2 linked regions of the Danio rerio genome follow. The protein of the gene in region 2 binds, or shares a complex with, the protein of the main gene of each other region. Links are inferred from orthologs where the notes say so. Each region holds a gene or a part of one and is shown on either strand. Other genes may lie near its edges.

Evidence for each region.
Region 1: the proteins of dlc1 (region 2) and tns2a are in contact, whole or in part, in an NMR structure (PDB 2LOZ), measured with the Homo sapiens proteins. The link is inferred for Danio rerio from reciprocal best matches to the Homo sapiens genes DLC1 and TNS2. Residues at the interface, in NP_001335010.1 of Homo sapiens: Glu811, Asp812, His813, Lys814, Pro815, Gly816, Thr817, Phe818, Pro819, Ala821, Leu822, Thr823, Asn824; in NP_736610.2 of Homo sapiens: Asp1268, Leu1269, Leu1270, Arg1271, Gln1272, Gly1273, Ala1274, Ala1275, Cys1276, Lys1317, Ser1319, Ala1320, Gln1321, Thr1324, Leu1387, Asp1388, Pro1389, Asp1390, Gln1391, Val1403, Leu1404, Leu1405, Gly1406.

What each region holds. Positions count from the first base shown.
Region 1 is NC_133198.1:10,676,657-10,680,478, reverse strand, and holds part of tns2a (tensin-2), read right to left. Parts: intron 3,697-3,822; coding exon 3,580-3,696; intron 1,884-3,579; coding exon 429-1,883; intron 257-428; coding exon 103-256; intron 1-102. UniProt on the Homo sapiens protein: Tyrosine-protein phosphatase which regulates cell motility, proliferation and muscle-response to insulin. Phosphatase activity is mediated by binding to phosphatidylinositol-3,4,5-triphosphate (PtdIns(3,4,5)P3) via the SH2 domain.
Region 2 is NC_133176.1:16,801,167-16,804,988, forward strand, and holds part of dlc1 (rho GTPase-activating protein 7), read right to left. Parts: intron 3,564-3,822; coding exon 3,500-3,563; intron 1,967-3,499; coding exon 390-1,966; intron 1-389. UniProt on the Homo sapiens protein: Functions as a GTPase-activating protein for the small GTPases RHOA, RHOB, RHOC and CDC42, terminating their downstream signaling.

The sequences.
Region 1 (3,822 bases), on a different chromosome or scaffold from region 2:
AAACCTTGCATGTTATTTTTAAGTAATAGTACACCTTGATTAACTGGTACAGAGGTCAAGGTTCCGGTGGTTGATCTACTGATAAATGCAGCTGCACATTACCTTTCCTGGGTTCGTAAAGGGCTGCTTGTGTGGACTGGTGTTGGAGGTCCTGAAATATCAGAGGGTGTTGAATATGGAGCATGTGGATGCATCCGCCGGAGGGATCCATGGGTAATATGATTACGCCATCCTATGCTATCTGCACCAGGGCAATCTGATAATGATAGGGTAAAGACTTGTAAATAAATTTGATCATGCACAGATGAAAATGGATGCAGACGAAAAATATACAGTCTTTTTAGCATGCTTTCAAAAGCTTCACTAATAGTCCAGTACTCTGCAATAACTAATTAGAGTTAAACTGAAACAACTTTACCAGTCCTCACCTGTATTTGAGTCAGAGGTGAAATGCTGAGAATGGGGGTCAGTTTGGTTTTCTGTAGGTCCACTGGCATGGTGCACCGGGCCGGGGCAGGAGGCAGATGGAGGCGGAAGAGGAGACGTAGACTCAGACTGGTAACCCGAGGCATATCCTCGACTCTCTGAGGGTGAAGGCTGGTAGGGGGAGCAAGGGCACGTCTGGTGTGGTGTCTGGTAGCCACTGGAGCTGCTGCTGTATTTAAGATCCAGATGGGCATGAGAGTGAGAGCGGGAGGGTTCTGGGTATGCAGGATGGCCTGCTGGGAGTGGATCAAAATTAAACGCAGGTAATTCATGACCGTGGGGCCCGTATGGGGATACAGTAGCCCTTCTGTGCCAGTATTCAGCCTCACGTTCTCTCTCCCACTGTAGTTCTGCATCTCTGTCTCTGTCCCAGTGAAGAGACATCTCTCTTCCTCTCCTTAGTCCTGGCTCCCGCTCCCATATCTCTGCCCCTCTCTGCATGTCAGCCTCTCTTGTCCGTCTTAACCCATTATCCCGGTGAAGCTCTGCCTCTCTCTCCCAGTGTATTCCATCCTCTCTGTCCAAACGTAAAGTGTGGAACTCTTCTCGTCGTAGAGCACAGTCTCGACAGGGGCAGCCGGGTGTCACTAGGCCATCTATCATCATGACATCATGGTAGGGTCCGCTGGGTTTGGGATGGTGTGAATGATTGTGATGATGGTGAGGATATGAAATGTACTCATCTGGTCTACAAAGCAGTCGGGGGGACAGACTGTGTGGATGAGAATTGATCTCTTGGGATGGATATGGATACAGGTGGCGAGATGGTCCCTCTGAACAAGTGCGATGCAGGTAGTGCTGTGGACCTTGCTGGCGGTCCCAGAGCAGGTCTGGAGGAGGAAGGGATTGGTGAGGATGGGTGCTGTGATGTTGGCAAAGTCCTATGACAGATGACATACCTGGAGACAGAGCCCCTGTGTGTCCATTAGTGGTGGTGGGCCGATCAAGGCAATGGCCATTGGGTAAATGATGAAATCCATTACATCCAGGCTCAGCACAACCCTGAGATCGGTAACCCACACGACAAGAACATGAACGGCCTAACCTCAGAGACCCAGTTCTTTCAGGAGGCAAGGAATCACCATCATCCAAAATAGCCGTCTCTCGGTCACGGTCTCTCAGTCCATCGCCTTCAATCCCACCCAATAGCCGCTCAAGCTCCTCCCTCTCTTGCTGAGTAGGCGGGGCCGGTCGAGTCGGTTCATCGAGTCGATCAGGAGGAACAGATGAGTGTCCGGAATCAGTGCTAACAGACAAAAGCTGACTTGGTCTTTCCTCAGAGCTTCTTGCAGGGCTTCCATTGGTCGATGGCAGAGAGGAGCAGCCAGCAGCAGCGCGGCGCTTTTTAACCTGTGCATACAAGCTGCCATCTACAGGGCCACGTGTATGAGCAATATCTGGAGAGAAGTAATTGCAAGATCAATATTTGATGCATAAAATAATTTTAATAATCTATACTTTATATACTTTGATTCCACAATTTTAAGTCATTATGAAATTTAAAGTCTACATTTATTGAATTAAAAATATAGTAAAAAACATCAGTGTAAAATATTATTTCAACCTATTAAACAAATTAAACTAAATGTTTTCTGTAACACTTTATTTTAGGTTACAATTCACAGTAATAATAAACCATTAACTAGCCCTACTAGTTTAATAAACTACTAATTAGTAGTAATGGGAAGTTCCAATAATTTTACTGACTCTGACCTTTGAGTCTTGTTCATTGAGATGAATGAATCTTTTTTTCGAGTCATTTTGTACAATTTGCCAAAATATTATTAAATGTTACGAGTTGCTTCCAAACTCATCTACAAGCTCGAACGTTGATCACACTACAAACATGTCAGCTCACCTTTTCTGACAGGTCTTCAAACTAGAGTGATTCGTTCATGTCGTGCTGACAGTCCCATATACGCTTAACCAGAGAACACAGTCCAAGCCGAATAAAGCCATGATTAGTTCACCTTTTGAGTCTTCTGGTTTTTAAATTATTCGTTCATCACGTCACATGACAGCATGTAAAAAGAGATGACTCAAACCCAAGGGCTCGAGAGATGAATGGATCAAATCTTCTTCCGGCTCTTAATGCATATGATTGGCTTCTGTCTTTCATGTGATGAACGAAGGACTCAAATCGAGGACTCGAAAGATGAACGGATCAAATCTTTTTCCAGTACTAAATGCATATGATTGGCTTCTAACCTTCACGTGATGAATGAAGGACTCAAATCGAGGACCAGAGAGATGAACGGATCAAATCTTTTTCCAACTCTAAATGCATACAATTGACTTTTGTCTTTCATGTGATGAACGAAGGACGCAAATCAAATACTCAAGAGATGAACGGATCAAATCTTTTTCCGGCTCTAAAGGCATATAATTGGCTTCTGTCTTTCATGTGATAAACGATACTTGAAAGAAGACTCGAAAAAGCAACTATTTTTCTACTCCACCAGCACAAATGTGCACACGCGCAAATGAAACAAATCACTCCCTGAGAGGACTCCTCCCTGAGTCAGACAAAAGATTTGCTTAAAATGAACGAATCGATCAAGAACGACCCATCACTACTAATTAACTGTTTATTATTAGTTAGCAAGCTAGAAGTTAGGTTTAGGTTTTGGGTAGGATTAGCGAAGCAGAATAAGATCATACTTTATAACTACTAATGAACTTTTAATATTGAAATAACAGACGGGTAATAAGCCAGTGGTTAATAGCATAAGTTCTGAACTAAACTAAAGTGTTACCATGCTTTCTACCTTATTGCTTTTTAAAAATGTAATTTAATAAAATGCTGGCTGAATTTGTAGCAGCTATTACTCATTTTCCCATGATTTCTCAGAAACCGTTCTTGTATTCTGATTCTGGAGTATTTCAACAGTTCTACTGCTTAGTAATTGTGTTGAGCTAACTGGTTTACATGAGATTATTAGTCTTTTGCAAAAGTAAAACTTTTATAGACAATTTCATGCTGAACAAATGCATATATTTATTTTAAAAAGCCAAATGTATTATAAAACAGTACGTTCCCTCTGAATGCTTGCATAAATACCAGTGTGTGGTTGTATGAATGAATAGTAGTACCCTCTAGGCTGTCCTGATGCCTCTGATTGAAGTTCTCATATGAGTCCCAGCGCACCACTGGATCATTTGTGTTATAGTCCACACTGACAGCTGGATCATTCCTTTGGCTCACTCTCCCTGAATAAAACACACACACATAATGTGGCCCTGTCATTTTAATGGAAATTCTGCACATTAGCTCAAGGAAGAAAACTATTTGTCAAACAATGTCATGGTCCCTGAAAGAGAAATTAAAAGGTTAGT
Region 2 (3,822 bases):
TCACATGCACACAGTGCAATGTGAATAAGTACATTGACTTGCACATATTGTGTATACACACATAAACACAAGCTAAAGGATCAGCTGCAGATAACAGGGATTAATCAAGGCCTCTATCACCAGGTGGGGGCTGTTAGAATTCCTGTGGCGCATTCCACTAGGAATCTGTATCCTTCAAGTATCCCTTGTTATGTAAGGAGAGCCGTTCTGACATGCTCTCTCACTCCCTCCCTGTGCCTTAATTCAATGTGCTATATTGGCATGATAGCTTTCCACAGAGTTCTTCCAAAGCTTTAAACTGCTACAGGAATAGTTTAGTTGAATTGCCAATAAGAAAACATAAGACTACTCGGTTAGCGTGTCTGTTTGTGTGTATGTATGAGTTTTACCTGTTGGCTCGAGTAAGTGATGCTTCAACTCCAGAGTCACATCTTTCACGTGAGCTGAGTGTCTCATCTCTTTCTGCTAATGGGTTTCCAGTGCTGTCCTGGTCGCTGCCATTCTCTGTCTCTTCTAAGCGGTTCTGCAGTGGAGATGATGGACAAGGAGATGCAGAGTCAAGGGCTGAATCTGAATCTCCTTCCTCTTCCTCTTCATCCTCCTCCTCTTCCCCAATTCCTGTTTCTGGCCATTCATTGACCAGTTGCTGCAGACCTCTGACTCGCTCTAACACATCCTCCAGTTTTGGTTCCTCCTCTCCTACTTCGTCCTCATCATCTCCCACTTCCGAGAAAGGAACATTATCATAGATACTCATTCGACTGTCTAGTGAAGCAGAAGAGCCCCTCCGGGGTGGGCGGCGACTTGTGTTGTCAACACCATGATAGGATCCTCCATCCGCAAGTGCTTTAGGAAAAGTGCCAGGCTTGTGGCCTTCAGGCAAATAGAAAAAGATCACACCTCCTTCCTCTACGCGACTCTCTTCATCCTCCATTTGCCTATTATCTGAACTCTGACGGTTGCGTCGATTGTTCTCATCAGTTGAGCTGGGCTCCTTCCTCTTATTTTGGGTCTGATGGTTCTCCTTTACATCTTGGTCTTCAGAAGGTTGCAGCACAACAAAGTTAAATGGGTCAAAACCTTCCAAGTACATCCCACCTCTCTTGCTGGACCCGGCTGCTGTGCTGTGACTACGTGCTCTTGAAACTGGACTGGGCGTACTTACAGCACTCCCACTGCTAGCTTCTGATTGGCTACTCCCTGCACTCCCACTGCTTGTTTGCGTTGAATAGGAGATGCTTCGATTTCGGTTTGCATTTCGATCCAGAGTTGCGATGTCAACACAGTTGAGCCGACGCAGCTTGTCTTCATCAAGACCCTCCTTAAGCACTGGCCCACTGATCTCCAACCTACCATGCCCAGGAACACCTTTCTTCTTGCGCTTGGAGCCTGCATTGCTACTGGTGCGTAGACGTAAACTTTCCATGCGTTTTAAAAAGCTCTTTGCTCTTGACCGTGTGCTTTTTTCAGCTGCACTACTTATCAAGTTTGGTTTTACATCAAAAGCAAAGGTACCACGTTCCAGGGGCGATGGAAGCCCATCAGACATGGAGTCTTCATTGGCACCTGATGTTCCAGAAGAACAGACACTGGCAACTGAGCTTGCTCTTGTTGTGGTGGCTGTATTAGCATTGGAGATGGTTGTAGCAGGACTGGATGGTACAGTGGTACTCAGTGATCCTCCTCGACCTCCACTACCAGTACTATGCAGAGATCCCACCTCTGGCTGCTCGCTAAGGTCCGTTAAGATGCTCTCCACACTGGCATTAACACCCTCCTTTTGAAGGGGCCCTCTAACAAAATGCTCATCTTGGGATAGGAATGCAGCGAAGGAGCCAGTGTCCCCTGCAGTAGGGGAGAATACATCAAGGTCCAGCTGGTCCATGCGAGACCAGCGCTTGCTGTCTCGCTGGAAAGTCCAACGGCCACTTATGGCACATGGCTCATCCTCATCAGAGTCTTCACTCTGAAACGATATGGAAAACAGTTATGTCAACACATTGTGTCAAACATGATCTGATTAATTTCCTTAATTTCATGAGGAATTGATCAAGCTAGGTCATATTCCTGAAACCTGGTTCCACTAACTGAAAAAAAAAAAAAAAAAAAAAACTTTTATTGTGGTTGGCTTAGCTATGTCACAGCACAGTCACATGCACACCATTCCTCCTCTCTGCTTTACTCGGGTTAATCTATCTCCTCCCTCAGGGCGGTAGGGATGGAAGGAAGGGGGTGGTGGACACAAAATTCCAGACCAGCTCTCAGGGTTCACACCCCAGCCTGAGAGGGCAGGTCTGGTCCCATCCCCCATCAATGCAATCACCTCAAGCAAGCCTGGAGAACAACATATACTGTGATGGACTTCTGGACAAAGGAATTAGATGTGTCATATACATGTTTTGCTGTAATGCTGGATCTCTGTTATTAACTTTAGCTGAATAGATTACAGCCCAATAAAATTATATAATTTTCTAAAGTTAGTTAATCCTAAAATATAGAATTGGTTGACAATCGCACCTAGTTGAGTTAGTTGATATGAGTTTAGCTGTTGAACAGACTTTTTGTCCTGGAGCCTTGACTAATCAGCAAAAGCAAAACTAGCTAGCCGGTTAACAGGGGGTCGCGGGATCCAGAGGTGTCTCCTTCACGGTTCATAATAACGGAGGCGACGAAAGTCCGTAAAACCTGGGTTGTTATTTTATGGCCCCTGAGGGCAAGCCTTTGATCAGAAGAAACGAAGACCTGGAGTGCAACGTTTCTTCACTGCCCACCACAAAATCCACTATTAATTCAAAAAGACGGTTTTGACTTTAAAATAAGCTGCTTGGACAGGAAGATGAGGAACAGAGGAGGACTCTAGAGAGGCCACCTGAACAGATCAGTGCATTCCAAGAATGGTTTCTGCTTGTATGTTTGAAAAGGGCAGATCACTTCCTCAAGTCATCTCCTGACCTCTACCTTTGACTCCATCAACACAAGATGACACTAAAGGGTCATCAGCTTTCTTAACAGGACGCACACTTGACAAAGCTGTCATTGTTCAGACTTACTAGTTTTAAGAACAAGAAAAAGAAGCCGCAGTGAGACATGACGGTTATCTTCCTAAGCTCCCTGTTGTGATTACATAGTTGGCTTGTTTGTTGTTGCATTCTAGACCTGCATGTAGTTTGAGTCATGGCTTTGGGGCAGTCTTAGACTATACACACTCGCTCTTAAACCACGCCGACAAAGCGGCGGACTGTGCATTCTCTTCCTTTTATGGTGTTGAGGGGGTTTTAGGATGCGCATTGTGAGAAAAAACATGACAAACAAGAGTAAAGAAAATCAAAAGAAGGAGAGGAGTTAACGACAACCCTTAATTAGGACATTCTGCACTTCCTCATAATTAACCATCATGCAAAGCAAACAAAAGGTTAAGGCTCTTAGGATTTCTGACTGGACATAAGAGTGAAATAATTCAGCAAAATAAAGGGAAAGGGGTTTCTGACAAAACACTTACTCTCTTTCTTTGAGGGGTGATCTCTAATCTCATAAGAGCGCACTTGTTTAGGGTGTTCAGTCTCCTGCAATACACACAAATGCAGATAAGTGAGTAAAACAGTCACAGTCATTTTTTCAAGCAGATGCATTGAAAAGGACCATGGGGTCACAAACAAAGGCTAAATCCAGTCATTAGCCAACAAACAGACTTTTCCAGAGTCAAATCCCTGGACAGAGACAGAAAGAGATAGGGGAGAGTGAGGGGGGTGGAGCAAGAGATAGAGATACAGAAGAAGACAGAAAATGATGAGAAGAAGATGAGAGAGGCGGCAGTCAAGCCTG